2 linked regions of the Saccharomyces cerevisiae S288C genome follow. The protein of the gene in region 1 interacts with the protein of each later gene in a biochemical or structural test. Each region holds a gene or a part of one and is shown on either strand. Other genes may lie near its edges. The genes, in order: ARO80 and SNF2.

Evidence for each region.
Region 2: the proteins of ARO80 (region 1) and SNF2 form a complex in vitro, tested with the Saccharomyces cerevisiae proteins (one study listed by BioGRID).

Annotation. Positions count from the first base shown.
Region 1 is NC_001136.10:1,299,064-1,315,163, reverse strand, and holds ARO80 (Aro80p), read right to left. Parts: upstream 3,125-16,100; coding exon 272-3,124; downstream 1-271. Other genes in the region: HKR1 (Hkr1p), read right to left, coding at 3,489-8,897; RAD30 (DNA-directed DNA polymerase eta), read right to left, coding at 10,092-11,990; 60S ribosomal protein uL11 RPL12B, read right to left, coding at 13,051-13,548; mRNA splicing protein SYF1, read right to left, coding at 14,153-16,100.
Region 2 is NC_001147.6:847,925-864,024, forward strand, and holds SNF2 (SWI/SNF catalytic subunit SNF2), read right to left. Parts: upstream 12,335-16,100; coding exon 7,223-12,334; downstream 1-7,222. Other genes in the region: YOR283W (phosphoglycerate mutase), read left to right, coding at 1-221; HUA2 (Hua2p), read left to right, coding at 554-1,285; thiosulfate sulfurtransferase RDL1, read left to right, coding at 1,711-2,130; thiosulfate sulfurtransferase RDL2, read left to right, coding at 2,356-2,805; rRNA-processing protein RRP36, read right to left, coding at 3,013-3,915; protein disulfide isomerase MPD1, read right to left, coding at 4,197-5,153; YOR289W (uncharacterized protein), read left to right, coding at 5,433-6,188; YPK9 (putative acid anhydride hydrolase), read left to right, coding at 13,251-16,100. UniProt on the Saccharomyces cerevisiae protein: Involved in transcriptional activation. Catalytic component of the SWI/SNF complex, an ATP-dependent chromatin-remodeling complex, which is required for the positive and negative regulation of gene expression of a large number of genes.

The sequences.
Region 1 (16,100 bases):
TAACATATCCAACGAATTTGCTGCATATTCTTATGTAATAGATAGCCGTTCCTAATGTGTAATGGCCTGCTTTGTTATAGAAATCATATATAAGTAGTGATTGAGCCGTAAAATCATCTCATATGCCCAATGGAAAACCAGTCATAGTATTATGAAGCATTCGCATTATTATATACCTCCATCTTCCCCTGTTATTCTGTCTTTGTATTTAAAATCATTTTTACGAATAGTGCGGTTGTCTTGGTTGATGACGTAATTCTTTGATATCTACTTATTTACGCGTTATTGGCCTTGAGTTATTAATATCATTATTGATGTTATTACTATTCACGAACAAGTTGTATAAATTTTCGAAATTATTATTATCACCATCTCCACATTGCATATATCGTTGCTCAATAAGTTCTGTCCATGGTTCTACAAATTCAAGCCCGATATCTTCACTAGCACCGAACCAATCTGTAACCTCGTCAGATAGAGATGGACCTTGGAAGAGTTCATTGTTCAGTAACGCTGTTGTGATATCGTTGTTTTGTTCAACAAAAGGATCAACGATACCTTTAGAAGATGTATCATTTGAATTCTGAGAATTGCTATTAATTTCCTCCGTCAAAGGCCTTTCCGAGGGTTCAAAAGTAGTCTCGGTTTTATTATATCCAATACGTTTAGAGAATATTGGCTTCTTAGTTAAGTCTTGTCCCTCCAGTGAGGATTCGCGATTGCTCTCTAGAGGAGTGGTGCCATCTCTTAATAAGGGTGGTCGTTCTAAGTAAGATTTTTTTCGAAGTTTCATCTCTGTACATAAGTACATTAATATGGCTGCGTATCTTTGACATAGATGTAATTCATCTGGTGTAGCTTCTTTCAAAGTAACCGCAGTGTCACGGATGATATCGAATGTTTCGTCAACCGATATTGCACTTAATTTTAAAATGTTTCTGGCATCTGGATTTGTTGCCAGTTCACTACCAGTAAGTGTTAGGTAGCATTTTACTATGAACGCAATGGATCTAATTATTCGTATTACCCATCTTACGGGCATGTATTTTAGCATTCCTTGCCTTGAAACTCGCTTTGCAGAACTCAATATTTCTTTTGCAGATCTGTATGCTAATTCCACATACCTCGCGCTTGTCACAATTTCATTCATATTCAATCTGCTTGTTTTCCCATCCACTTGCAGTGCGAGGGAAAAGATATAAAGTTGACAATAATTGAAATCTGTGATAATACTTTCACCATTTATTCTATCGATGTTATCAAATATTTGTTTTTTGTTCTTCCTATCTGCTAGTGAGAAAGGGACATCAGAAAGGGGTACAAGAAGCTCTCTGTAGTTACTGAGCCAGCCCTCTATCAAGGGAGAAAAAACACTTAGGACAGAGAGGTTGTGTCTCTGATCTGTCGTTGCCAATTTCCTCTTATTCTTCTCACAGTAAATCGTCTCATATGCTATGGATAGGATTCGAATGATCTCTATTTTTGCTCTTTGGGCGAATGAGAATCTTAGTGGAAATGGTGGTATGTGATTCTGTGCTAGATTAGTATCATCTTTTTTATTAGAATAATATAGAACATACTCATCGTTTAAAAACTCCCTCTCCCAATCAGTCAAAAAATTTTTCTCGTTGTCGTGGTCATTTTCTGAGTTTTCAAAAACTCTCTTCCACCTTAGTTTACTTTCTTCATCAGGCAAAATCTCATTCAGATAAAATTTTTCATTCCCAAGGTAATCCTCATTGCTTTCATTTCCATCGTTTTCAATTTTTCCTAAATTCAAGTTTAAAACGCTGAATGATTCTGCTAATAAGGATCTTTGATTCATATTCATAGCACTGGTAGTCTCAGATATATGAGTGACAATGAATACTTTTGAGCTGTTTTCAATGAATCCCATATCTTGCGCCAGCCTTACTGCAGACCCTGTCAGCATCCATGACATTCGGTCGCTTCTACGGATTGCGCCGACACCGGTCAATCCTTCTTCGTCCTTCCTCGTACTAATATTCTTACTTCCTCTAGCGTTGACATTATTTAACTCAGGATCATTTGCATAGTCAGACCATTTATAGTGGATACTCCTTGGGTTCCATTCCGTGAAAATTATGAAAGCAAGCACGGTGCCAATTGACCTAGTACTAGCCTCTGCCCAAATTGTTTGAGATATAAGCTTCTGGCAATACACCCATAATTTATCGTGAACTTCAATGTGTCTCATCCCATCTTCTCCATTGTCTAATCCTAAAGTATCGAAAGGATGATAGCGAGCAGAAACAGTCAAAATTGCACAAAACAAAATTGGATATTCTGCTAATTCTTTCGGATCATGCAATTGAAGTGGGATATTGGGAAAGAATGGGTGCATCGTGAGAAAAAATGCCTCTATGAGTTCAATCGCCTCCTCTTTAGTAAGCAAGCTATCTGGACCGATGTAATCGAAGTCGTCAATTTTCCGGGTAGGTGGAGGTCTCACTTTCCCGATTTCTTCCATTAATTGTGATGTTTTCCTATTCGTATTCAGCGTGTGGTTAAGCATATCTGCTGTATTTTCGTAAAGTGTGTTAGTACTGTCACTTTTTGAAAGTCGTTTCAACCCCTCGTCCGTAGCAGATTTATTTGTCGCATCCAAAGAACTTTTCAGTGGTTTCGGTGTTGTGGACTTCTCTTTTATGATTTCTTTTGCGCCTTCTTTTGCTACAGTTCCAGCAGCTTGGGCCAGAAACTCTAGGGCGTTCTGCATGGAGGAAAGTTCAAGCTTCCACTTCATCCCTTCTGATTTAAATGATTTTTCACTGCTAATCCCTTTTCTTGACAAAGGTACATCCGATAAAATTGGGCTCGTTGAGTCATTTTGTATCTCTTGCTTACTCTTACCTAGAGATGGCAGACTTATTGCATTAATCGAATTAGGAGGCAAGTCGTTCGAAGTTCCCTTATTAGAGCTAAAAATACATTTTTTTAGCTCCCTTTTGCAACGTGCACACGGTGGGTCGTGTGGGTTATCAACCGGACCAAGATCACATTTCACCTTCCTTGATCTGCAGCTGATGCAAGCTTGGTAGGTTCTTCTCCGTTTTGGAAGTTCAAATGCTGCGTTTCCCGAAGGCCTTTTCTTAGCAGACATAGAGGATAAAGCAGTGCTTAATGTAACCTTATTATGCGTGGATCATATATTCCCACGACTAACTTGATATTATTGCTTTAATTTATTCTCGCTCTTTTTTCATTGGTTAGTTACTATCTTCATTTATCTCGGTTATCATCGGATAGAATAGTGTACTCTCGTTGATTCCGAAAATATTAAAAAAAAGCCTTCATGTATTACTAAGAAGGACTCATAAAATTACAAATGCAATACTTGATGATATATATAATAATAGTAATGGCGTGAGCCTATGTGTATTAATGGGTATCAATTTTTGTGATCATCTTTTGTTGCAAGCGCCCCTTCCAGCAGCGTTTATTGCACAGTCAATAATCATTTTTCGCTATATTTTTGTCGTTTGATGGTTCTGTTGTTTTATAACTTTCGACATTCTCTTATAAAGTTCTTCGTCTAAAGCATCCAGCTCCTCGATATGTACATCTGAAACACTACCATTGTCGTCAATATCCTCTATTTCTAAATCTTCAAGATTAGAGAAAAGAGTCTGATTTGGCTTTGGTAGTGAAGATTCTGTGTAGCGTAATGTGTGAAGTTTAATCGAATTTGTATGAAGGGGTGTGGTATAAGCGGTACTTGGCAAACATGTCTGACTCCCTGTAGAAAACTCATTCGTAATTTGATTTCCAGTATCGGGATCATCTGTAGTACATGATTCAGTGCCTAGTCCATGAAGTTTAGTTTCGCACAAATGGTTCTTGTTATAGTTTTCAATAACTTCGTCTGGCAAGTGAAAACTGTTTGACTCTTCATTGTCAGAATAACTGTCGTATAATCGAATATCACCATTTTCATCAACATCTAGAATGCCTGATATGGACTCCTCATCATTCAAGAAGGCTTCCGTAGCATCTTGGTTTTTGTCATACACGCAGTCTCTTACTATACTGTCTATTCCCGAACCATCATCCCCATTGGTTTGATCAAAATCGAGGGGGATTGCGTCCCTGTACAATAGATCACCGTCATCATTAATGGTATAATGTAATCTGTGAATAGTATTATAGACTGTGTTTTCGCCAGTCACAATATAATGATCATCTACCGCAGAGTAAACACTTTCATTTTCAGATTCTGGCGGCTTTTCATTATAAACTTGGTTTCCAGAAGAAGAGCGGGAAAGCTCGGTACTTTCAAGTTCCCTCTCATTATTGAGGCTTTTCCCTATGCAGTTCCTTGGGTGTCTTTTCAATAATATATTTCTATGACGGAAAGCAAAAAATGCAACGAATAACCACAAGAGTACGCCAATAGTTAAAACAATCAAAAAGATGATTATTTTTACAGCATACTTTCCTGCAGATGCAGAATCTGTGAATGAATTGATAAAGTCATCCAAAGCTCCATACTTGTAAGTTCCATCTATGTTTTGGGAATTTCCTTTTGAAGAATCCAAGACGCTTGATGAGGTTAAACTAGGGACATAACCACCATCTCCAGAGCCATATAACGTCAATCCCCCTAATGGGATCCCACTATCTATTAGACCAGCTAAACTTCGCAGTGGGGTTTGAGGATTGCTATAAAGAGTCGAATTTTCATCAAGGATTAATTGCTGAAGATATGTTACGGCTTCTGTTGGAAAATATACCTCTGCAACTGATACAATGTATGCCTTAGAAGAGTCTACCATGGGAACAATCTTTTTCACCGCTATTGAGGATGTGTCGACTTGTGGAGGATGTAAGTCCTCGGTTGACTTCGTGGCATTTTTTTTCTGCTGGTTTTTTTTTTTCTTGACAACTGATAATGATGATATGGATTTTGGGGAAAGGGTAGTTGTGCTGCTCCCAGACCGGTATGAAAGAATAAAAGTGGATAATTCCCCAATACTATTGTCCAGTTCTGATGAGGTGTTTGAAAAGGGATACTTCAAAACGAGAGGTAAAAAGTTGAAGATTTGAGCCGAAGATAATGGATTTTGAACCAAAAATACATAATTCAAAGCGGCCGTGAATCCGATGGTAATTAAAGTGTGGTTAATGGGTTCCGATACAGCGACGGCCGGTTCAATTGCATTGGGAAGTGAACCAGTGATTGACGGATTGAATGATGCGGTAGTGGGGCCCGTTTCGGATGATTCCACTATAATAGCGGTAGGTAACCATGCGTAACTATTTGGAGAGGGGTACGGAGTAGTAGGATAGGTAGACAAGGCAGGGGCTGTGAATACTGAATTAGTGCTTGCCTGAGTTTGAACTGCAGTCGTAGCAGGTCCAATTGAGATTTTTGTAAAAGACCGAGAATATGACCCACTGGTTTCAGAAGAACTTTTGTATTGCGTCTTTGTTGTGGTTAAGCCGGTTTCCTCGCCATTTTCGCCCATGGTTTTCGATACTTTCCTGGATAAACTTTTCGAATCAACCTTTGTATTTGTGGAGAGCGATGGGTTAGATGAAATATGTGAACTTTGTAAAGAACCTACAGAATTCCTCCCTTCGGATTTTTCAGACTGACTATTTGCTCGTAATGTTGATGTAAAGCTTGTGATTCTTTCTTGTGTGTTTGAAACAGATTTACTTGCAGGTATTGTTTCTTTTGAAAGTTTTATTGAAGATATTGATGAGGATGAGTAGCCAAATGAGGTTGCACTTTTTGACGAATCGACAAAGTTATGTGATAGTCCAGTCACAGAATTATGAGAACTTGGAATAGATAAAGAATATGCGTGCGAGCTACTTGAAATTGTAGTTATCTCTGTAGGAGTAGCGGAAAACTTTTCATTGTCTGGTTTCGCCGCGGAAGATGTGTATAGGAAATTCGAAACAACTGTGGATCTGCCACTGGTCTCAGTATTCTTGTTCGCCGTATCGTATGGATTTTTTGTACTGCTAGACAGCTGGCTCTGTAGTGAACTAATTTTAGCTGAGTTTTTGGGGCTTGTTATGCTTGCTTGGGTCGATGAAATTATCAGAGAAGTTTCAACCAAATTCGAAGCTGAAGGGTTGAAAACGGAAAGCGCGCTTGAATGTATTTCGTCATTTAAAGTTGAGCTTGTAGAAATTTGCTGAGAGACTATACTTTGGATTGCCATCGAAGTCTGCAGTAAGAAATCCGTAATCCTGGACAATGTGCTATGTATTTGAGTTGGTGCTATTGTGGATGTTGTTGAGTACCGCTCAGAAGAAAATTCAAACGCATAAGCAGATGAAAAGTATGTGTAAGTAGAAGAGGTGGGTAAAGAAGTAGATGGGGAAGGTGAAAATTCATATGTAGCAATGGACGATCTGGAAGCAGAAGATGATAGAGAGTAAACAATATCATATGGAGAGGATGAGGAAGTAGATGACATGGCGACAGAAGCAGAAGGTGAAGGCGTGTAACCGGATGATATGGCAGCAAAAGTTGATGGAGAGTAAACAATATCATATGGAGAGGATGTGGAAGTAGATGACAGGACAACAAGAGCCGATGGTGAAGACGTGTACGTCGAGGATACTGCAACAGGTGCCGATGGTGAAGACGTGTACGTTGAGGATATTGCAGCAGGTGCTGATGGTGAAGACGTGTACGTCGAGGATACTGCAACGGGTGCCGATGGTGAAGACGTGTACGTTGAGGATATTGCAGCAGGTGCTGATGGTGAAGACGTGTACGTCGAGGATACTGCAACGGGTGCCGATGGTGAAGACGTGTACGTTGAGGATATTGCAGCAGGTGCTGATGGTGAAGACGTGTACGTCGAGGATACTGCAACGGGTACTGATGGTGAAGACGTGTACGTTGAGGATATTGCAGCAGGTGCTGATGGTGAAGACGTGTACGTCGAGGATACTGCAACGGGTACTGATGGTGAAGACGTGTACGTTGAGGATATTGCAGCAGGTGCTGATGGTGAAGACGTGTACGTCGAGGATACTGCAACGGGTGCCGATGGTGAAGACGTGTACGTTGAGGATATTGCAGCAGGTGCTGATGGTGAAGACGTGTACGTCGAGGATACTGCAACAGGTACCGATGGTGAAGACGTGTACGTTGAGGATATTGCAACAGGTGCTGATGGTGAAGACGTGTACGTCGAGGATACTGCAACAGGTGCCGATGGTGAAGACGTGTACGTTGAGGATATTGCAGCAGGTGCTGATGGTGAAGACGTGTACGTCGAGGATACTGCAACAGGTGCCGATGGTGAAGACGTGTACGTTGAGGATATTGCAGCAGGTGCCGATGGTGAAGACGTGTACGTCGAGGATACTGCAACAGGTGCCGATGGTGAAGACGTGTACGTTGAGGATATTGCAGCAGGTGCTGATGGTGAAGACGTGTACGTCGAGGATACTGCAACGGGTACTGATGGTGAAGACGCATAGGCAGAAGGTACTACAACAGAAGCCGATGGTGAAGACGTGTACGTCGAGGATACTGCAACGGGTACTGATGAGAAAGATATGTAAGCAGATGGAAAAGGAGCAACGCCAAAGTGAGAGGAAACGGATGCAGATAAGGATGGGGAAGAATAAAGGGAAGAAGAAATATAAGTCGACGAGGAAGTCGCATGAACAAAGGTTGAATGGACAGAGCTGTATGGCACTGTATTGGTGCTTGAAGTTGAAACAACAGTATCCGAAGCACTGCTAACTATAAAGTTTGTCGTGGAAATCGAAGATACTGCGAAAGTGTTAGATTCACGGCTTACACCTTGACTTGCCTCTGAAGATGTTTCGGCAGTGGAAGAAGTGGCCGGGCGATCGACAATCAGTTCTTGGTCAGGATAGTTGCCAGCACTTAAGTCATAATATGTGGAAAGCTCTACTTCACTCATACTAAAACTATCAATTGATGTAGTTTGCGTTATGCTAGAGGGCCGGGATACTCCAACAGCCACTCGGCTGCTCTCAGAGGTTTCAGTTGACGTTGTTTGGCTATAAGAAGATGAAAAGCTGGTAATGGGGGAGCTAGATGTCTTGTCTGCAGTCGACTCCCCTCCAGAATAGACGGTTGAACTTGAACTGTAACTTTCAGAGAGCTGGGATTTGCTCATGGCATATTCTTCTTCGACTGAATTTTCAAACGATACAGTGTTGGAAAAATCTGTTTGTGTTGATTCACTACTAAAGCCATCTATTGTTGAAGCTGCCGTTATGCTGGAGATTTGTGAAACTCTGGTTACCATTTGTGCAATTCTCGTTGTTTCACTGATACTGGAAGTTTGAGCCAATGTGCCTTCTTCTTTGGAAATTTGAGAATCTGTGGTTATTATTGGACTTATTTCCCTCGGTACCGCTGAACTATCGGATGTGGATATTATTACGCTACTTGAGGATTCCGAGGAGGTTGTATCGCTATCTGACTCCGCCACGGACTTCGGATTGTGACTAAGCGTTTGTGATATTTGTGATTCATCGCTATAGGACTGCAAAGGGGTGGGTACAATGCTACTACTTGGTGTCGCTATTTCCGTAGACTTTTTTACTGATGACATCGTGTCAGAAGTTTGCGTTGTCGTCGTCACACTAATATACTGGCTGGACGTACCAGTTTCTTGTTCATCCATTATTGTTGTGCTTCCACTTTCACCATATTGGCCAGCCATTGTGGTGGTTTCAGAGCTTGATGTTATTGCATTCTCTTTGTTGCTAGATCCGGTACTGGATATCGCGGATGTTGAATATGAGGGTGTGCTTTCTATTCCATTATTGTATGAAGTTGAATATATTGTATCGTTACTATAGGCCTCGATTGCATTTAACAATGACACCAGGAGTAAAATTTTTTTTATTTTCAATGAGACCATCTTTATACATTCTCTGTTTCTGACTGTTGACTGCGTCAGTTGAGGAAAAAGATATCGCAAAAATTTCAATAATGTGGGTGCGGAATCAGTTAGTTACTGGTTAAAGAATGATAATAAAATTGATGATATGGCAATTGATTATAAACGGAAAATGTTTACAAACAAAGTTAGTGCTCTAAGTTGTAAACTTTCTCTTGATTACAATGCAGGAAGCAGTACAGCGAAATATCCAAACGAATGAAATGACTACAGGTGCCTACGAGGGACACTGCTTTTAAATCGCTGTAACTACTGTCTTTGAATAAGCCCTCCAATTAACTAATCTAAATATTCCTAAATTAGTTAAAAAAATTTTCTGCAACCAAACGGGTCAGAAAGCGAAATATCTTTAGCGCGTTGTGGAAAAGAACAAACTGCTATTAATAGAAAGTCTAAGACTTTTGATAATAAGAAACGAATACTTGAGTGATAACGTTGTTACACCTTTTAAAGAAAAAAACAAAAGAAATTGACTGACAAATTTTGTTGCTACCAAATAAAAACATTAAAAATAACGACAACTGCAGGACTCGAACCTGCGCGGGCCAAAGCCCAAAAGATTTCTAATCTTTCGCCTTAACCACTCGGCCAAGTTGCCTTAATTTGTATTGTAATCTGGTCTTCAGAAGAGTAATGATAGTGTATAACTTTTTTATGATGTATAATATTACTTGCATTATTATTCTTCAGATTTGTTTTTAAACAGCGTTACTTTGTAACATGAGATTGTGTGTATCAAACCAATTCCTGCTTTAAACGCATCTAATTGATTAAGTCCCCTGAACAATCAGCTGAGGTCAGAGATCATGCTTCCAGCATTCATTATCACATGGATCTTATATATTATGAAGGTATGTAATATTCTGTGAGTCATGTCTACAAAAATAAATTATAACAAGTTGTTTCTTTTTTATAGACTTCCAAATCTCTATCAAGAAATCCTAGTATGAATATTGTACATAATGTTATCACTTTGATCAAAAGCGAAGTCTCAAAAGTCATCAGTCGGTATTTTCCGATCATAAGATATTAAAGGTACTTCGTTCTTCTTATCAACAAAACCTGGCGCCCGTGAATCATTTAGAAATTTTGGAAAAGCAATATTATCAGGACGTTTTAGTTGCTGAAGCCATATAATTGTCTATTTGGAATAGGTCATTTTTTTCTTGTAAAAAATGATAAGATGTTTTTGGAAGATGTAACTTGTTTCTTCTGAGGTGTGGCAGTATGTTGTGAGTTTGGTCTTTTCCGTGAAAACAACAATCTTTTTTCCCCGAAAGAAAGGTTTTTGGATGATTCTTCAGCACCATTTAAGCCTTCCGACAGTTTCAATGCTAAATGATAGTCTGCGTGCTCTTGAAGAGCCTTCTGGTCTGTAAAAGTCACCTGGTATTTACAACATTCCAACTTCGGAGTTTTCTCGTCAGCTTTCGAGCTGGTAGTTTTTTCCTCATCTTCCTTGCCTGCTGAGCTTTTGAAAGTATGGACCTGATTGCCAAACATATCTACAACAGTTTTTTGTAAATCTATAATATCGAAATTAGTAATTGTCATACTTAGTTTTGTTAAAGGGTAATAACTTTTGTTCTTTCCTTTAATATCAAGGTCCGTGACAAATTTTATGCCTACTTTTAGGAGTTCGTGACTCTGGAAATTGATGCCCTTGTACGCAACTGGACCTGATTTTCGATATACTTCGTAGGATTTTGTTTTTAAAGATATAGATACTGTTCTTGGTATTACGATCTTGTTATACTCCTGTTCCAGATCCTGAATCCTGGACGTAAGCTCAGCGCAGAAGACCTCAAGCCAAGAAATACAGTCCACGATGGAATTGCACGATTTTCCTCTAAGATTTTTGTTTGACATCATACTTTTTACAACAGGGCGAGAACTTAAGGGCAGACCGTACCGGCCTCTACTTAATTTAAACAACTTTTCTGCTAAATCTGCTGTTTTCAAAGGGTCGATATTGCTGGTTGAGCGATCATAATCAGATTGCTTAACTTTAGCATCTAAAAATTCCTTAAGCTGGCCAGCATTATCAGGCCACGTCTCTCTGATGTGTTTAATACTGTTTTCGTGGGGAAGATCCAATACGTCAATTAGTTCTTTGCCAAGAACGCCGCCTAAGGTCCAGAATGATGTAATTTCAAACTTTCCGCAATCTAAAAAATCTAATAAACAATCATTTTTCACAATTGTTTGGGCATCAGGTTTTTTGTAATTAGAAGCCAACTTGCAAACATTTTTGGTGCTAGACAAACCACACGAAGTAGTATAACCGAGAATATCTTTTATGCTATCTCTGATACCCTTGCATACCTGAGATCCTAGTGCAAGTATTACATCGTCCCAATCTGTGATCAGATCTCTGCCCTCTGGATTGAAAACATCGCCTTCAAACTTCAGAGACTTTATCTTTTCGGGTATAAGAGGTAGATGGGAATTTATATCATAGTTGCCCCCTATAAAAGCCTCACGAATATTGCTTAATGCATCTTTCAGTTTCAAGTCGCCTGTAAGCTCGTACTCATTATCAAACATTAGCATATTGAAACAAATCCGGCCCAAATCAAGAAATACTTCATCAATACTCGCCCTTTCGACTAGATCACATGCGCTTTTGAAAATCTTCAGCGCCTTGCGACTTTCCCTCCTATATGGTTCCAGTGATACTTTATGATCTTCCACACTTATCTGCTTTGCAGGATCCTGCACCCAAGATCCACATCCATCATGATATTGCCAAAAATCTTCTCCCTTTTTAAAAACGGCTGTATGGATCGGTATGAGGTTACTACATTTTTTTAGTGCTTCCTGAATCGTATCCATCCTTGATATACCATACTTTCTTGCTGCATAAGAGACTGCAATAATGGAATTCCACTGAACGCAGACTACCGGATCTTCTTTGCTTAAGCCACATCGCATCTGCTCAACCTGTGCAAAAAAGGCATTCATATCTATGTGGGCGATACATGCTAAGGAGGACTCGTATGCTTTACTGGGGGAACCAAGCTGAATCAACTCCTTCCAAGTAAATTTTGACATGCTTTGTCTTGTTTTATCAAAGCCGTTCAAAAATGAGCAGGCCTGCGCTAGAAGACTACAATAAGTGGTTTATACTTTTTTCGCCGCGATAAGGTATAATTATATAGGTACTTTAGTTAATCCGAAATTATAAGAATTGCCCAAAATTAAACTAATATTGTAAAATGGACTCGAAGTTTAAATTGAACTATTAATTTGAACCTATTTTCTTCTTCTTGAACATACAATAGGTATCCTATGATCGGCAGGATTAGGTAGCGTTTAATTTTATCCTTAGTACATTTTTAGAGTAATATTTTATATGGCAACCATGTTTAGATTGAAAGTTGCAACATCCTATCATGCCATTGATGTATGTAAACCTTTCAATTAGAAAAGAAGGCCATGCACATAATGTTTTTCAGGCAAATATATATTTAGTTAATGAAAATGGAATTAACGAAAGAGAAGTAAAAAAAATGAACATAAACCACATATAAAATAACAACTGATACACACTATCTTAGTTTATTATTTTAAAATATTCTCTACTCTAATACATAAGAATACGTAAAACTCAAAAGTTCCTTTTTGTATTTGCAGAAGGATTTTTAAATTGAATAATTTTAATCCGTCACCATAATAAGATATTTTATCCAGTTGCAGAGCCTGAACGGGGACAATAGCAACACTTCAATGCATTGGCTACATGCAAAGAAGGATAGCCTTTTTAGTTATGAGTGGTATCGTTGAAATAATTCTACAATAATACAAGCAAGTGAAAGATGGGTTTCAGGAAGCTTGGATGTCAAGACAAAAAATTTGCAAAGAGAAGGGTCAAATACTAGAAACCTGCCTGATATTTACGTCGATGAACAATTTGGCCCATTTCATAGATGGAAATATCTATTTCAACATGTAGACGGTTGATTGAACACAGCCGGACTACAATTTGCTGCAACAGTAAAAAAAAAGAATATAACGTGAAGTAAAATATTTTGGTTTATATGTTAGATTAAAGCCTTTTAAATTAAAAGTACAGAATAATATATGGAATGGATTTTTGATGTTATAAACAACCTTAGTTTTCTGGAATTTCAATTTCACCAGCGTTAATACCTTCAATGATGTCATGAGGGTTCTTGAAATCAACACGACAACCGACAGATTGAGCAGTACCCAAAATTTCCTTAGTAACGGAAGCCAAAGTTCTACCGAAGGATTTGTCTCTCATTTGTCTGGCAATTTCAATAATTTCATCCAATTGGATGTTACCGCTATGCTTGACGTTCTTATCCTTCTTTCTGTCTCTTGGTGGTTCCTTCAAAGCAGTAATGACCAAAGAGGAAGCAGATGGAACAACAGAAGCAGCAGCTTGTCTGTTTTGGATTTTCAATTGGACAGTAACTTTGATACCTTTGAATTCCTTGGTGGCCTTGGCGATATCTTCACCAACCTTCTTTGGGGATAAACCCAATGGACCGATCTTTGGAGCCAAGGCGGCGGAAGCACCGACTTCACCACCGACAGCTCTCAAGTACAAGTACTTAACTTCATTTGGATCAAACTTTGGAGGCATATTGACTATTGATTTATCCTTCTATTGGGCACTTGGGGTTGCTTTAACGGGAAGTAAGTAAATAATTTAGGTACTGTTTTTATTCCATTTTCATACTAGTAATGTACCGCCAAAGAAGATACAACATTGAGAAAGATTAGCGGAAGCGTCGTCGAGCACCTGTCCTGGTGTGGCGACAAGCATTTTCTCGTAGAAGGAGCATTAACATTTTCTCGGCCTAGAGCCAGGGGGCTTAGGCGGAAACCTTCGGAAAGGGAAAAAAGCGGCTAGAGGGGACTGCCAGGCTGCTCGAACACAAAGCGAAGTAGACATATCATATTAGTATAAAGTCACGCAAACGGATCTCTGTTTACATTAGCATTGCTATCTAAGAGGATAATCTGGGTTATGCTTTATGGTCTATGAAGTACCTGTTTTATGATATTGTTTATTTCACTTCCTTAAACAAAATATCTGTATGTTATGAAAGCAAAATACACAACCCAAACATCCACAGTGCACGGATGTTTGAAGGAAAATTGCTACTTAATCAGTAATTGCAGAAGGCCGCACCAAAAAAGAACTTATGGTTTCGAAAATGATGCATGATTTTACATAGCTTATATCAAATATCTAGTTCTATTTCATCTGGATTAATCGAATATGAAGAGGTTGATTGGGTAAGAGTATGCGAGTTGGGAGCATGCGAGGTTGCTGCCGCCACGAAGTTAATGTTACCTTCCTCATGGCTAACGCTAGCTGAATCAATGAGCATGTTGGATTCCAACACCTTCTTCATCTTCAACATGTCTTTGTAAGTTTCCTTATCCCCATGTTTTAACTCAAAAATTTCAAAGCTATCCCATAATTCAGTATTTCTGGATGGAGGAAGAAGCTTTGCACCATAGGCAAGGATTTCACGTGCTCGAATAGTTTCTCCTATAGAGCTCTCGAAATCTGAAAATTTAATCACAAACTCAACAGCTTTAGAGTTTGGTAAAATTTGAATGCATTCTTGGTACAACTCTCTGGTTACTGATGGTCCCAAAGTAGACTCGGCCTTGGAAATACACATTCTCCACAGTTGCAGTCTACTTTCGAGGTGCGTGCTCACACTAACAGTACCTATTACAGCACCTCTACGTAATATCTCAATACTCTTGCTAATCAGACCACTTATCCTTTCTTCAAATACGCTATAAGCGATAAAAATTGTTTTACAGTCTATACCATTTGAACATAGATTCTTAAGTGCTTTCTCAAACAAAAATCTAATATGTTCAGGACTCAGTGATGACAATTGATGTGATGTCGCTACTTCTAGATACTCAATCCATAATTCGTATTGGATTTCGGGGGGAAACAGAGGGATTGTTTTCTCATACACCTGAAAACTTTCCATGACTTCGTAATGATTTTGTAAGAACAATGCAAAATTTTCTGCCATTGCTGGAGTGATCAATCTCAAATCAATAACAGTATTGTATGCCATTTTTGTCTTATTGAATATTTTATCGGAGGAATTTGCATCCTTTGGGCAGTAAGCCTCTAGATAATCAATGTATTTGGACCAAATACGTAATGAGTTGAATAGAACAGTTTGAGCAGGTATTTTTCTGTGTCCATTCTTATATTTTTCGAGGAGAATTTCTGGATTTGTTGGCACATGTAATGCATCTTCAAGGATAGAAAAAGCTCTTTCCACCCCTTCTTTATCTAATTCTCTATCAGCCCAGTTTAGGTAAATTTCTTCCAGATCTTCTATATAAGGATACGGTACCTTCAGAGATTGTGTCCACAATTCTCTAGCTGTACTAATTGCGTTTGATCTCCAATACAAATCCCCATACGAACACCAAAGCCTACCGAAAGAGCCAGGCGTACCAACTTTTCGGGGATCAATTTTCAGTATAGCTTCTGAATACACATTACACTTTTCCGCTGCTGACTTCTGCAAGGACACTCTTTTCATCCACGTTTCCACCAAGTTGGAATCTTGCCTTAGTGCGACATCGTTCAAATAGATATCATATAAGTTGATTAAAGATTCAAATGTCGCCATATGAGCTTGTAACTTTTCAGTCCAATCTTTTTGATTAAAGAATTTGCTGTCATTTTCCTTTAGCTTTCCCAGAATAAATTGGGAGCACTCTTGCTCAAATAGCAAATAGAAATTATAGATGCGATCAAAATCACTGTACCTAAGTGTTTGCTGTAAACTTTTCTTCAATAAATCACCACAACTGTCAAGCCTCCCGCGAGAGATATAATATTTGGCAAGTGATAGGATCAAAAAAAGCCATTTGTCGGGATATATGCCATTCATTTGCCTCATGAACTCCTCATATTGATTATCTAAACCTAGTTTTTCTAGGCTGGCCAAATAATTGAAATTTAATTCAAAAGGCAGTTCTGAACTAGGTAGATACTTCCCACTATTTTCATCTTGTGGCAAATACTTTTCATATACTGATTTGATGGTAATATTGTCTCTAGTTAATGCAAGAGTTGCCAGCGATTCATTTCGTTTTTGCTGAGGAGCCACTTTTAAGTATCTTTCTAAAATATGTGAC
Region 2 (16,100 bases), on another chromosome or scaffold:
TCAAGAATCTAGCCCTAGTTAGTCATGGAGGTGCTATCAGAATGATTTTACAATGGTTAAAGTATGAAAATCATCAAGCTCATAAGATCATTGTTTTCAACACCTCTGTCACTATAGTTGATTACGTCAAGGACTCCAAGCAGTTTATTGTGAGACGTGTCGGAAACACCCAACATCTTGGTGATGGCGAATTTGTCGTCAGTGACTTAAGATTACGTTAGACACTATATGGTTATTCACTGTTGGGTTTTTCTCATTTTGTATTAGAAATGCGGTTTAGGTAGTAATAGAAATTTCGCATGCGTGTATTTTATTTTAAAACATATAGTTCGTAAGGGTTTATCTAAATGCAGTAGATGTTCATAAATTATAGGGGTTTTATGTTTTTATATTATTGATATAGTTTTTCACATGAGATGAGAACGACGCGTTTATTTTAAAGGAAAGAAAACTGTGTCGTAATATGTAACAAGACTACATTGATACTCCATAGCAGAGAAATGGATATGTTCTGTCGGTGGTAAATTCAGGTGAATTGTATATCAGTGAAACTATGCAACAAACAAAATTTGGCAAGATGTATTTGGACCACGATTCGGTAGTTGAGTACTCAGAAGATGAAATTGTCGAAGCCGATCGTATTACATTGGGCTATAAAAAGAGATTGTCAATGATTGAAAATCAAATGCGACATCTTTTGGAGGATTTTAGTTTGGACGTTCAGCAGATTGAACCCATTCTTGCCGACTTGCAGAAGTACTACGACGCGTTTCTACAACTTTTACAGAAAAGGAACAAATCATTACAATGTAAGAGGTCCACTCACCAGCCGGTCCCATCCCCAATGAATAGCCAGACATCAACAAATGCAAAGGTTAATTTGAGCGGAAAGCTTATGAAGTTTCAGCTAAATAGTGTACAAAAGTTCGACGAAGAAAATATACTAAGGATTCTGCAAAATAAAATAGAATTCGAACATTATTTCCAAATTGATAAAGGTAAGAAGCAAAAGGTGCTATTACTTGCCGTATATCAATGCCTCAATGGGCCAACACGTTTGCATAAAGTGCTTAATATTGAGGGAATTATACATAATAATAGTATCAGAACTATACTGGGCAAACAAGTGTCCAGTTCTAAGTGGACAGTGTTTCTGTACGATGTAAAACTAGTTTTATTGGCGCATAGACAAGATGTTCCGAACTTAGAAACTAGCAAGATGATCGTCAGATATGGTGATTTATTTCCCTGTGCATTGTACTTCAAAGATCATACAGCATACTAAGCGCTTTCCAGGGACACCTTCTGTCGCAAAATATCAGAATTTTTCTTGATTAAACGCAGCATATTGAGTATATGAAATTAACGGGACACTGTGTGAAAAATTTGTAGTTGTACTTTTTTGTTATCCCCTTTGGTAGACATATGGACGAATTACTACTAAGATTGGCTTCCATAAGGCCCAAATCCAGATATCACCTACGGTATGTCCTTTTCCTACTTGCAATGACAAATAATTTGTTATTTATCTTGGAACCTATATAAGTTACATCTGATTGCTTTTGTATTTTTTTTGGAGAATATTATTACCCGCGGGGAAGGAAGTAAGGGGAGAATTTTTGAGGTGTATAAAAGAGAGTGGAGGCTTAATCAATCAAAGAATTCTTTCTCGTTTATTTTCAGGGTTTGTGACTAAGAAACGATATTAAAATGTGGAAGGCCGTGATGAATGCTTGGAATGGAACCGAGAGTCAAAGTAAGAATGTTTCAAATATTCAATCTTACAGTTTTGAAGACATGAAAAGAATCGTTGGAAAGCATGATCCTAATGTGGTTTTGGTAGATGTTAGAGAACCATCTGAGTACTCGATTGTTCATATTCCTGCTTCCATCAATGTGCCATATAGATCGCACCCTGACGCATTTGCCTTAGATCCTTTAGAATTTGAGAAACAGATTGGCATCCCAAAACCTGACAGTGCCAAGGAGCTAATATTTTATTGTGCTTCTGGCAAACGCGGGGGAGAAGCTCAAAAAGTCGCCTCCTCACATGGATATTCAAACACCTCACTATATCCTGGCTCTATGAATGATTGGGTTTCTCATGGGGGTGATAAACTTGACTTATAGCCTTGTATACTCTAGGTATGTACCCTGTGTATTTTCGTAAGCTAGTAACGTATTATGCCATTTATGTCACACCGTTCATAATATTTGCCTATTGCATTGGCTGTGATAGCGGCGGCGCAAAGAAATTAGGAAGTATAAAAAAAAAAATACAAAACTTAATCTGAATGGAATAAGATAGCGATAACTCTCAACAAATGGAAGCGAGACAGAAGAAAAAGACCAACGATGTTCAAGCATAGTACAGGTATTCTCTCGAGGACAGTTTCTGCAAGATCGCCTACATTGGTCCTGAGAACATTTACAACGAAGGCTCCAAAGATCTATACTTTTGACCAGGTCAGGAACCTAGTCGAACACCCCAATGATAAAAAACTATTGGTAGATGTAAGGGAACCCAAGGAAGTAAAGGATTACAAGATGCCAACTACAATAAATATTCCGGTGAATAGTGCCCCTGGCGCTCTTGGATTGCCCGAAAAGGAGTTTCACAAAGTTTTCCAATTTGCTAAACCACCTCACGATAAAGAATTGATTTTTCTTTGTGCGAAAGGAGTAAGAGCCAAAACTGCCGAAGAGTTGGCTCGATCTTATGGGTACGAAAACACTGGTATCTATCCTGGTTCTATTACTGAGTGGTTAGCTAAAGGTGGTGCTGACGTTAAGCCCAAAAAATAAGCCAAAAAGAAACAAGTATAATCGATATATCCTGTATATAGACAACCTTTTGTGTATTTCAAATTTTTTGTTGTCACCTCTCCGATTCATTCGATTTTCTCCTTGTGGTTCGCGGATAACCTCTTACTTCCATTAGTTTATGTGTGCGTTTATTTTTTTATCTTTCTCTATATATTACTTTAATGTGCATTCTTTTGCTTAAATACTCTACCTACGATTATGAAATTCAAATTGTTTAAACTCTTTACCCAATCTCTTCTTCCTTTTCCTTTCCATGACCTTTTCACGTTGCTTGGCCTTCATGTGATCAAATTTCCACTTTTGCACCACTTTACGTTTCTCAGACTTTTTCAAATGGTATCTCGTATTATTGTTTTTATTCATATCATTTTCGTATTCCTTGAGAATTTCACGCTCGAGATCTTTGTTTTTCATTGATTGCAATCTCGATTTCATACTTTTCAGTCTTTGTTCCATTTCTTCACGTTCTCCCTGGTCTATTTTTGATAGAAATTTTCTTTCTTGTAACAGCTTCTGCAGTTCATCAATTTCTTTTTCTCTATATTCGTCCAAGAACTGGTAACGTTTTCTTATGATAGAACTATCAAGGGCTTTACCGGTGGACTTATCAAATCTGATGTCCTGATAGAGGTTAGACCTTTTATTCCTCGGTATTTCCAGCCCAGGGATATTTCGGACTCGTGGTACCCTTTTCTTGGATGATTGTTCTACTGGAGCGTGTTTGCTCTTCTTTTTTGGTACTTTCTGACCATGATGAGTTTCATCCTCACTATCTTCTTCAAAGAATCCAGCATCCTCGTCTGATTGGTCCTCACTGTCCTCATCTTCATCAAAACTTTCTTCTCTGTATGTAGTTGTGATCGGTTTTTTGTGAACGGGTTTCGTATCTTTGAAATCTTCTTCATCTATTACCGTTTCAGCCTTCTTCAAAGAACCAAAAGACAAGGTTTTCAACTCATCGTCACTTGATTCTTGTTCGTCAATTTCTCGCTTACTTTTGTTCGCCATTATGCTCTCCAATAAGTTTCCGTCATCTTCTTCTACGTCGGAGTTCAAGTCTGGCTTCAGATTTTTAAAGTAATACGACATTTTTAACCTTCTAGTGCTTATTGACCCTCTATACAATTTTTGGATGGCAATTTAATTATACTATTTAGTACTTATTCTTATGCCCCAGTTTTCCGGTAGAAAGGCAAGCTCATCGGTTGAAAATTTTCAAAGCGGGTAATAAACGTGTCTTTCGGTATTTAACCGCTCAGATAAAAGTTATTATTGCAAATAAAAGTAAACGTCCATGCCATCAGTTAGTGGACTATATAGATACATATGTTGTGTTTAATTAGATAATCATTGAATGAGGAAACGTACCACTACAATTCGTCGTGCTTGTTTCCTGAGGAGGAATGGTTCTTTTTAATTGGCTTCTTGCCAGTTTTTAAGTAAGCAATATATTCAGAACGTCTACTAAAAGGACCCTCATTGGGGGTAATACTAAAAGTGTCCCGCAGAAATTTGGAAATGTCATTTTTGTTGATTGAGTTCCCTTCATACTCCCAAAATTTATCTTTGTCTGCATCAAAAACGACAAGCTTACTTTTATCGCTCTGTCGCTGTTCAGGAATGACCTTCTGCAAATATTTGAAAATCTCAGGAGTTTTTTCATATGTTGGGTTCATATCGGTTAGTTGCTTGAGTTTTTTGTTTGAAATTGAATAAAAATCGAACTTTCCTAACCAATCAAGGGCAATGCTTTTATAAACCGGTGAAATTTTGTCTTGTTTGGAAAACAACACCACGGAAAGTTTGGGTGACTTTCTAAGTAAAGAGCCAAGTGTATCTATACGGACAAACTTTTTGACATATGACCTTATTCTTGAAAGAGAAAAATCAACAATAGGCGCGAGAGTTCTTGCACCTGAGTACACTTCATTGGCATGAGCGCTGAAACTTTTTTTGGCGTTATCTATTGGCTTAGATAGGTCAATTTTTGGGGGCCTAAATACCATTAACGTGGGAAATCCGTTTACGTCGTATTTAGCACACAAAGCCTTATTCTTGTTAAGGTCACAGTTTACAGCAGCAACTTGGACTACACCATCCAATCTTTTTGCTGCCTTGCGGAACGTACTAGAGAGCTTCTTACAATGGCCGCACCACGGAGCATAAAATTCCACTAATGATGTGTAATTTGTGTTATGGATCGCTTTATCGAAGCTTTTTGGCGTTAACTCTGATATATGAGGATCGGAATCGTAAAAGTTTTGCGCCTTTACTTCATTCATAATAAAAAGTCCCAAAAGGAGCTTAATAATATTAAGAAATAACATTATATGTCAAATTTTGTCTCTCCTAATTGTGTTAAGTGGATGCTTACTGTTGAAAATGACTGCGAAAAGATATTTCTCTTCATGTTATTTAACTTTTACGTGTCAATTTTAATTTTTACCAAATTTTTATACGCCTCGCAAGGCTCGAACAACGGCCCTTTTTTCAAGGGATAAGCACATGACACTGGGCGACAAAGGAGGAATATAAAGAGAAATTTGCGTCAATTTGTATCCAGATAAGATCCTTTGAAAAGATGGTTTTTGGCTTGTGCGATAGTAATGGCTTTAAGGCTATTTCGAAAATCCAGTTTTTTTGCAAAGATATCAATGGAAGGCCCTAAAGGTTCATCGCCATTTGCGTTTTACGCATTTTATCAACTTTATTCGCACTTGAATCCGGGGAAATCGAGCAGCCTTTCTTTAGAAGATATTAGAAGAAGGCTATACCCCGACTTTAAAATAGATTACAATGAGAAAACTTCGTTGTTCATAACTTGGAAGAAAAAGTCCAATAAACATCACACAATAGACACTAACGAAGAGAATTATATACTTAGAGGATGTATCGGTACATTTGCTAAGATGCCGATTGCACATGGTATTGAGAAATATTCCTTGATTGCTGCTTTAGAGGATAGGAGATTTTCTCCGATCCAGAAAAGGGAATTGGTGGACCTGAAATGCAGTTGCAACATCTTAGGCAACTTCAAAACTATTTTTCGAGGTGGTGGTAATCCAAATGGGGACATTTTCGATTGGGAACTCGGAAAGCACGGTATTGAACTGTATTTTAAGCATCCCAAAACAGGCACCACATGTAGCGCAACCTTTTTACCTGATGTTATGCCTGAGCAACATTGGAATAAAGAAGATACCTTTGCCAATTTAATCGAGAAGGCGGGTTACTGGGGCAATATTAGTGAAGTAATGGATAATTTTGAAACTTATTTCATTGAAGTAATAAGGTACGAGGGCAAAAAAAGTTCCATAACTTATGAGGAATTTAACAAACAGTTAAAAGATATAGAGGCTTAGAAAATAACCCTCGTTAGTTAGTCTTAGAAACATTAAAAAAAATATGCTTTTATACATTGATCAAGCTTAAAAATTGGACGCAACCGGAATCGAACCGATGACCTCTTCCTTGCAAGGGAAGCGCGCTACCAACTGCGCCATGTGCCCTGATGACTGTTGAAACTGTTGTATCTCAAAATGAGATATGTCAGTATGACAATACGTCATCCTGAACGTTCATAAAACACATATGAAACAACCTTATAACAAAGCGAACAACATGAGACAAAACCCGTCCTTCCTTAGCTGAACTACCCAAAAGTATAAATGCCTGAACAATTAGTTTAGATCCGAGATTCCGCGCTTCCACCACTTAGTATGATTCATATTTTATATAATATATAAGATAAGTAACATTCCGTGAATTAATCTGATAAACTGTTTTGACAACTGGTTACTTCCCTAAGACTGTTATATTAGGATTGTCAAGACACTCCGGTATTACTCGAGCCCGTAATACAACAGAAACTCATTTCTAATGAGTGGTAAATACATTTGTGGGAAATATCTTTAAGGCCATCTCGGACCTGTATATAATCTCCGAGTATTTCCATTAAAGATGAATCAAATACATGAAATATCTATTAAAGACATATACTCAAGGAAAAGAAGTAGTAGATATATCTTCTTTATATATATTGCCCTGTGTTGCTAGCAGGGTGTTGGAACAAATAATTTGTTCCGTATTGGAAAATTTATAATTAGGTCCAAGAACAAGTTCACTATGATGACGACATATTACTTTGTTCAAAGAGATGGTTTAAAATAAATATGTATAGCAGAATTATAAGAGGCGAAATCGATCAATTAGTTGAACAATTAACTTAAAATCTAATATATATAAATATATATATATATATATATAGGAAATATACGGCACGTTATACTAGAGATATTAAACATCCCAACTCGGTTAATGGGTACAATAAAAAAAAGAGGGATTAATGTTTGTCTACGTATAAACGAATAAGTACTTATATTGCTTTAGGAAGGTACTATACACTCGCTTCTGTCATGCTCGAGTCCGCTTCATCTGTGAAAGATTCAGCCACGCTTGAAGTAACAACAGGAGGCAAGACGAGGGGTCTGGTGCCATACTGTTCATCAAATTCAGTAAAGTCGAGTTGTGAGTTATCGCCCATTATCTCACAGTATTTCTTCGTAACCACTTTTTCCAGTTCTAAAGAGTCTTCGTATACTACTGAACCCTCAGTATTGTATATCCTAGCATTGGAAAATATCAGATGAAAGTCTTGAAGGGTCTCTTTAAGGGAGTTGTAAGCTAGCGTTTCAATATGCGTGTTAATATTATCAAAGGCGACAGGGTACTTAATAATCATATAGTAGTCGGGATATAGTGCTTTGGAAGGTTTGGAGAGGAAAATGTCAGAAAGTTTCCTTCCAGCTTCATTTTCATAATTGAGAGCAAAGTGGTATAAGTCTAGAGCTTGTTTAGCAACTTTCTCTCTAATATCAATAGGACTCGTTGCCGCAGCGGGCGTGCGGACATAATCAAGCCCATTTCTTGCTTTTGGCGGCCTTCCTCGTCCACGTCCTCGCCCTCGACCACGACCACGACCGCGACCACGGCCCCTTGTTGAAGTTCTTGCTGATTTAACAGATGTTTTTCCCGCTGTACGTGGTTTTGGAATGTCCATAAAATCCTCACTGGGAGAGTTATCGCCAGTAACTGGACTTGATTCAAGCGCTGGTGGTTCAGAATTTTCAGATCCTTCAAGTTTCACTTTCTTAGGTCTTCCACGGGGCCTTCCTGCCTTTCTCTTTTTAGACAAGAAATCATCGTCATTCATTGCCAAATCCGTATCTGCCCGATCTTCGGCCGATATATTATTAATTCTAGGACCGTCATTATCAGCGTCAATGTTTTCGCCTTTAATTTCTCCATTCCCATCAATCGCCTCGCTCTTATCTTCCTTCTTTGTTCGTTGTTTTCTTGCCTGCTTGTCATTTTTTTCATCATCGCTAACTTCAAATTGTCTTAACCACTGTTCTTCAGACATATTATCGTTGTAAGTTGCCGTCTTACGTTCTCTTGCACCCCTTCCATTGTAAACAGCAGCAGATTCTGATTCTTCACGTTTGAGCTCGGCACCAATATCTCTACTGTAAATATCAGGTAATTCACTCTTTTCTAAGAGACGGCTCTTTACTCCCAATTCTTCCTCCTTCTTTGATCTATCTTCATCCATCCTTGTAAGAACAGCCATTTCTTCGTCATTTCGAGCAAGAATTTCGTTGATTTCTGAGTCTTTTAACTCCTCTTCTTCTTCAACACCAGACTCTCTTTTCTTTCTACGTTCCTCTTCTGCATCCAGCAAAGATCTAAGCAACGCTTCTTGTTCCTCCGATGTAGATTTGTTATCGAATTTACCTGCTTGAATGACTTTACCATCGATATCTAGCTTCTTGTAGGCTCTCTCTAGGATAACTTCTTCAACTGAATTCGTAGTAATCAATCTTAGAATTCTAACTTCATTCTTCTGACCTATTCTATGCGCTCTATCCTGAGCTTGCAAATCTTGATGAGGATTCCAGTCAGTATCAAAAATAATGACAGTGTCTGCAGTTTGTAAATTTAAACCCAAACCACCCGCTCTAGTTGATAAGATAAAGCACAAGTATTCAGAATCAGGGGCGTTAAATAGACGTAACAACTCACTACGTTCATCAGATTTTGTATGACCATCTAACCTCAGGTACTTGATATTAATGTACCTTAAAAAATCTTCCATAATATCCATAATTTGGGTCATTTGAAAAAAAATTAATACTCTATGCCCAGTTGCCTTAAGCTTAGGCAAAATTCTATCTAATAGTTCAAATTTACCAGCAACACGCCAAATATCATCATTCGTTTCTCTTGTTGGATTGATTTGGTCCTCAACTTCTTCAAATACAAAAGGATGATTACAGATTTTCTTTAGTTGCATGATTTGATTATTGAAACCTCTTAAACCTACCATTTTCTTATTATTTTGATCACCGATAAAAAGACGACGATATTTCAACATTTGTTGGTACATAATTTGTTGTAAAGCGCTCATTTTGCACTTCACTACCTTCTCAACTTTATCCGGTAATTCTTTTTCTACATCCTTTTTCAAACGACGCAATAAAAAGGGTCTCAAGACTTTATGCAATCTCCTGATAACCAAAAGCGTCTCTTCTTCACTCAACTCAATTTTATCTTGCCCACCGGTGTTGGCAAAGGGTGTATTGAACCATTCATCAAAAGATTTCACGGAATTGAAAATCTTGGGTAACACAAAATTCAATAAGGCCCATAATTCTGGCAAGTTGTTTTGAAGTGGTGTACCTGTCAAAATTAATCTATAATCTGCATGGTAATGTGTGTTCAAGGTTAAAGAAAGCTTGGATTGCGCATTTTTCATTCTATGGCCTTCATCAATAATCATATGGACCCACTTGACCTTGGATAAAAGTGCTCTTTCTTTAATAATATACTCAAAGGTAGTCAGAACTACATCAAATTCACCTGCCCTTATTTTAGCCTGTTTGGCTTTCCTCTCATTTGGCGAACCTTTAAATGATATAGTTCTTAAGGTAGGAGCCCATTTCGCGAATTCACTGCTCCAATTTGACAGTGTAGATAAAGGAACAATGACTAAATATGGCCCACGAATATTCTTCATTTCATATAAATATGTAAGTAAGGATATCGTCTGGATAGTCTTACCAAGACCCATTTCGTCTGCTAAAATACCATTTAAATGATTATTGAAAAGCGAAACCATCCACTGTAAACCCTTGATTTGATAGTCCTTTAAGGTACCACCAACCAATATTGAAGGCTGCTTCTTGATATCTTCTTTAATTCTATGTGCGACATTGTAATAATCGACGTTAGAATTGTCGTCGTCGTCATCATATTCTTCATCCTTCATCTTGGGGACCATGGACAAATCATCCACTTCCTCCGATGCTTCCTTTATGTGGGAATCAATCATTTCTTTAGTGTACTTTTGTTGATCTTTCACGGCTCTTGTTAAAGAATCTAAAAATGCGTTTGTTTGCCTTAGAAGATGTGTAATTCTTGTATCTTTGGTTTGGTCTAATAATTTTATATAGGCTTCCTCATCGTTCGCCTTTAAAGCCTGTAAACGTTCTTTTGCCTTTTTTTCAGCTCTCTTTTGCTCATCCCTTTCTAAATTAGTATGCGTAGCAATGAGTCTATGGCCAAACTTCAACCTTTTATTCTTTTTATCTTGTCTTCTATTATATTGATTGATGGCGGATTTATTCATCGACTTTAATCTGGCCACTGCCTCAGTCTTCTTCCTTTCTAACTTAAGTAATTCATGATTCTTATAAAGTTGGTTTGTTAGCAATGCATCTTGAACGTTGATGTTTCTTATTTTCGAAAGAAAATTTGGATGTGTATTGGTTAATAAAGAATTTTGATGCCATTCAAATTGTAATACATGACCTCTTACGGCTTTTTGTAACGGTAATAATTGTAAGGCGTAGTAATCGTAAAGAGCATTTTCCCTGGTTGATTCCGTACATTCGTCATTTAGTAGCTTATCCAAACAGTCATTTACCGTAGTATCTAGGTTCAATGCAATTAAAGTTTGGTAAATGTCAGTAGCGGTATGTGTGTCAATACCAACCGGTAGAACGCCAGGTTCAATAGTAAACTTTGCATGATCCGAATTGGCCAATAAAGTCTGATAATCGATATTACTATGTGAGATATTGGGCATCGTAAAAGAATCAACCATCATATCAGGATCATCTATATCTACCACTTTTATTCCTTCCTTATATTGATCTTGAAGGACGTTTAAAGGAACGGGTTTCTGCGGTTTTGGCGGGTTATTTTGCTCGGTGTGGGTCTTATTACTATTAGGAGCTGTTTTAGCTACGTTTGAAATGGTTTCGTTTTCCTCTTTTTTCGATTCTGTTTGCGTGATTGGAGTGCCACTTACAGTTTGCGAATTTTTATCGAGGGTGCCATTCTTCGCATTATGTACACTAGATGGACCAGCTGGTGAAACAGATGCAAAATTTTCGTCTTTGCTATCTAAAGGTGCATTTCTGGTAAGCCCAGAAACGTTGTCAGTGTTAGTGTTATTGTAGTGGGAATTGGTGCCGGGTTGCTGCGTATTGTTGCCGCCATTGAGATTTGATTGGTTATTTTGATCTGTGGGTTGTCTTCTTCTCGCAAACTCACTCAAAGACAGTAACATTCTTTTGAAATCTGGAGGATGGTTAATAGATTTTTGGATAACAGCCTGAAATTCAAACGGAATAGGCTTTCTATTTACTAGACATTTTAGAGATGTGATTTGGGCCTTTAACAGTTCGGATTGCTCGGCAGTAAACATTGTCATGGGTAATCTTCTCCCCTGTTGCAGTCTCGCTTGTGCTTGTTGTGCCTGTTGTGCCTGTTGCGCTTGTTGCGCCTGTTGTGCTTGGAATTGTGCCTGCTGCATCTGCGCCTGCTGGGGCATAGGAGAATTTATCTGCGAACCTGGCATCACATTTGAATCCTGTATGTTGTGTTCTTGTAATGATCGATTTTGCGGTTGAAGCTCGGAATTATTAAGGTTTAAGTTATTATGGTTTGAGTTATCTGGTTTCTCCGCAGCATTTTCTCCATTGTTTGCTGGTGTTGGTGAAAAATTAGTTGCATTTAATGAACCAACCGAAGATTGCCGTTGTGGTAGCATGTTATTACCACCATTGCTATTTAATGGCATCTGTGTTTGCATGATTGGTGATTGATGAGCAGAAGTGCTAAAGGTCTCATTTCCATTCAATTGCATATTCGGAGCTAAATGCGGGGAAGCAGAAGCAGAAATGTGCGAGGAAGCATTATTCGGCAGTTCTGCTTGATCTGAAGAATTTGGAACAATATTTTGCTGAGAACCTGAAATGCCTTGCTGTTGGCGTTGCATTTGTAATTCTTGTCGCTGCTTGGCAGCAAATTGCAACACTTTAGTCAAATAGATAAATTCCGGCACACTCGGAGCGTTCATTCCGTGTTCATTTCTCAAATGCTGCCATCTTAAATAGCAGCGGTTGACCTCTTCGTTGCTAAATTGACGCTGTGGTATGTTCATGGCAGATAATTAATCGAAAGTCGTGAAAATAGCAGAAAGTCGCGATTAGAGAAACAACAGAATAGCTGACCTTCCCGATGATTTATATACAAAAGGTCCACGTACGTCACAAATATCTTCTTTATTGAGACTAGAGGTAACCTTTCTTTTAACTTATTGTCCTACCGCCTCAGGATGGCCCCGTTTCGTCAATCAATTTGTTGATATTTGTCTTTCAAACGCGGTTTTAACATATCGCGAACAACGGTATTCGGGTAACAGCCTATCACTATTTTTACCGGCGGCTATTTTTCCTAAACCTAGTATATATACGCGAAAATTGGCTACCTGCAAAATTCCAATAGTGGCGAATGTATTGGAATTAATCTGCAAGGAAAATAAGCGTTAGGAACTTCAACTGTATTTTGCTCACTAATTCTTCTTCATCATGTCTTCTTCTTTTTTTTTCAATTACTTGTTAGTTCTTAGTGTCCTTATGTTCACTCAGAATAGCCATTAAGAATCGTGTCTTTTTGGAAGTGAAGGAGTTTCAATAAAAAGAAAAAAGCGAATATTTCAACACTGTGTTCTAAGAAAAGGCTCTATAGCTTTTTTTATTAGTTTTATTAATTTGAAAAATGCCTTGTTTGTTTTATATATATATATGTGTGTATTTAGGGCAGCCGCGGCCAACAGGGGGTATGGGTATGAAGAGGTGATAGAAGAGTGAAAAATGAAAAAAAATGGAAATCAAGGAAAGAGTAGTGAAAAAAAGAAAAAAAGGAAAAAAGGGCAAAAAGAGAACGCAATACCATAGAGTTGGAGGTGTTGGACTTGTGAATTTATTTTTGATTGAAAATAGTTCAGAGTCAATAGATTCTTCTTTAAAATAAAAAGGAGCCCAGACTTACTGATAGATCTTGCATATACTCCGGTAATGGATATTCCCTCTTCAAACCAAATTCAACATGGCCAAAGGAGTGAAAGGAACCGAAGAATGCCGAGGGCTTCTTTTTCTTCTACAGCCACTACTTCTACGGCGGCCACATTGACTTCCGCGATGGTACTGGATCAGAACAATTCGGAACCGTACGCAGGTGCAACATTCGAAGCCGTGCCAAGTTCTATTGTATCATTCCATCACCCTCATTCTTTTCAATCAAGCAACCTCCCAAGTCCGCATTCTTCAGGGAACCTAGAGCAGAGAGGCCGCCGATTGACTGAATCAGAGCCTTTAGTATTATCCTCGGCTGAACAGTCTCGAAGCTCTTCTAGAAACCCTTCTCATTTTCGATTTTTCACTCAGGAGCAAATATCCAATGCTGAAGGCGCTTCCACGTTAGAAAATACAGATTATGACATGGCCTGGGATGCCACCCCCGCTTATGAACAAGATAGAATCTATGGTACGGGCCTATCTTCCAGGCGTTCTTCTATTCGAAGTTTTTCCAGAGCATCATCTCTCTCAAATGCAAAGTCTTATGGATCTTTCAGTAAGAGGGGTCGCTCTGGTTCAAGGGCACCACAAAGGCTGGGAGAAAATTCTGACACTGGGTTCGTTTATCATTCCGCTACACATTCATCATCCAGTTTATCGAGATATACGACCAGAGAAAGAATTCCTATTGAACTAGAAAGTCAAACAGATGAAATACTAGAAGACGAGTCTTCTACACATTCTTTAGAATCTTCAGATAGTAGGCGATCTGCAAGCGAAAATAATAGAGGAAGCTTTTCTGGTCATGATGATGTTCATAATCAGCATAGCGAATATCTAAAACCTGACTATCATGAAAAGTTTTATCCACAGTATGCACCAAACTTGCATTACCAAAGGTTTTACATTGCGGAAGAGGATTTAGTTATTGGTATCGCTGCTTACCAGACCTCAAAATTCTGGTATATTATTTACAACCTGTGCTGCTTCTTGACTTTCGGATTAGTTTATCTTTTAACGAGATGGCTTCCCCATCTCAAAGTTAAATTATATGGCGTGAAAGTGCCATTGGCTAAAGCAGAATGGGTCGTGATAGAAAATGAGTTTGGTGAGTTTGTCATACAACCTATCGATCGACAGTGGTATAATAGACCATTAAGTACTGTTTTACCTTTTGAAAATTACCCTAATCCGTCATATGAACCAAATGATATCAATTTGAGCCACCACCATGCCAATGAAATTAATCCAAATGTGCCTATCTTGATCACATTTGAATACAGATATATTAAGTTCATATATTCACCGCTCGATGATCTCTTTAAAACTAACAATAACTGGATAGATCCTGACTGGGTGGATTTAAGTACCGTATCAAATGGTTTAACTAAGGGGGTTCAAGAAGATAGAGAACTTGCGTTTGGTAAAAATCAAATTAATTTGAGAATGAAAACTACTTCAGAAATTTTATTCAATGAAGTGTTGCATCCGTTTTATGTCTTTCAAGTATTTTCGATAATTTTGTGGGGCATTGATGAATACTACTACTACGCCGCATGCATTTTTTTGATTTCTGTACTGTCTATTTTTGATTCATTGAATGAACAGAAGAAAGTATCGAGAAACTTAGCTGAAATGTCGCACTTTCATTGTGACGTTCGTGTTTTGAGGGATAAGTTTTGGACAACGATAAGCTCATCAGAACTAGTTCCGGGCGATATATATGAAGTATCTGACCCAAATATAACAATATTGCCTTGTGACTCTATTCTTCTGTCCAGTGATTGTATAGTCAATGAATCCATGCTAACTGGTGAATCTGTGCCCGTTTCGAAATTTCCAGCTACGGAAGAAACAATGTACCAATTATGTGACGACTTCCAGAGCACCCAAATATCGAGTTTTGTTTCCAAATCCTTCTTGTATAATGGTACAAATATAATTAGAGCAAGAATTGCCCCCGGGCAAACCGCCGCTTTGGCGATGGTTGTAAGGACAGGATTCTCAACAACAAAGGGCTCCTTGGTTCGTTCCATGGTTTTCCCAAAACCAACTGGTTTTAAATTCTATAGAGATTCCTTTAAATATATTGGATTCATGTCATTAATCGCAATTTTCGGTTTTTGCGTCAGTTGCGTTCAGTTCATTAAACTTGGTTTAGACAAAAAGACAATGATATTAAGAGCTTTAGATATCATAACAATTGTAGTGCCACCAGCTCTGCCCGCGACTTTAACCATTGGTACCAATTTTGCTTTGAGTAGGTTAAAGGAGAAGGGAATATTTTGTATCTCTCCAACAAGGCTTAACATTAGTGGTAAAATCGATGTTATGTGTTTTGATAAAACTGGAACACTTACCGAAGATGGCTTAGATGTACTTGGAGTACAAATATCGGAGCCAAATGGGGTTAGAGGCCAGAAGTTTGGAGAACTATTGAGTGATATTCGCCAAGTATTTCCTAAATTTTCTTTGAACGATTGTAGTTCGCCATTAGATTTTAAGTCCAGGAACTTTTTCATGTCATTATTAACATGTCACTCGCTGAGATCAGTTGATGGAAATTTACTCGGTGACCCACTAGACTTTAAAATGTTTCAATTTACCGGTTGGTCATTCGAGGAGGACTTCCAAAAACGAGCATTCCATTCATTATACGAGGGAAGACATGAAGATGATGTTTTCCCAGAAAATTCAGAAATCATTCCTGCGGTAGTTCACCCTGATAGTAATAATAGAGAAAATACGTTTACTGATAATGATCCTCATAATTTTCTAGGGGTGGTGAGAAGCTTTGAATTTTTATCTGAGCTGAGACGTATGAGCGTAATTGTTAAAACGAATAATGAC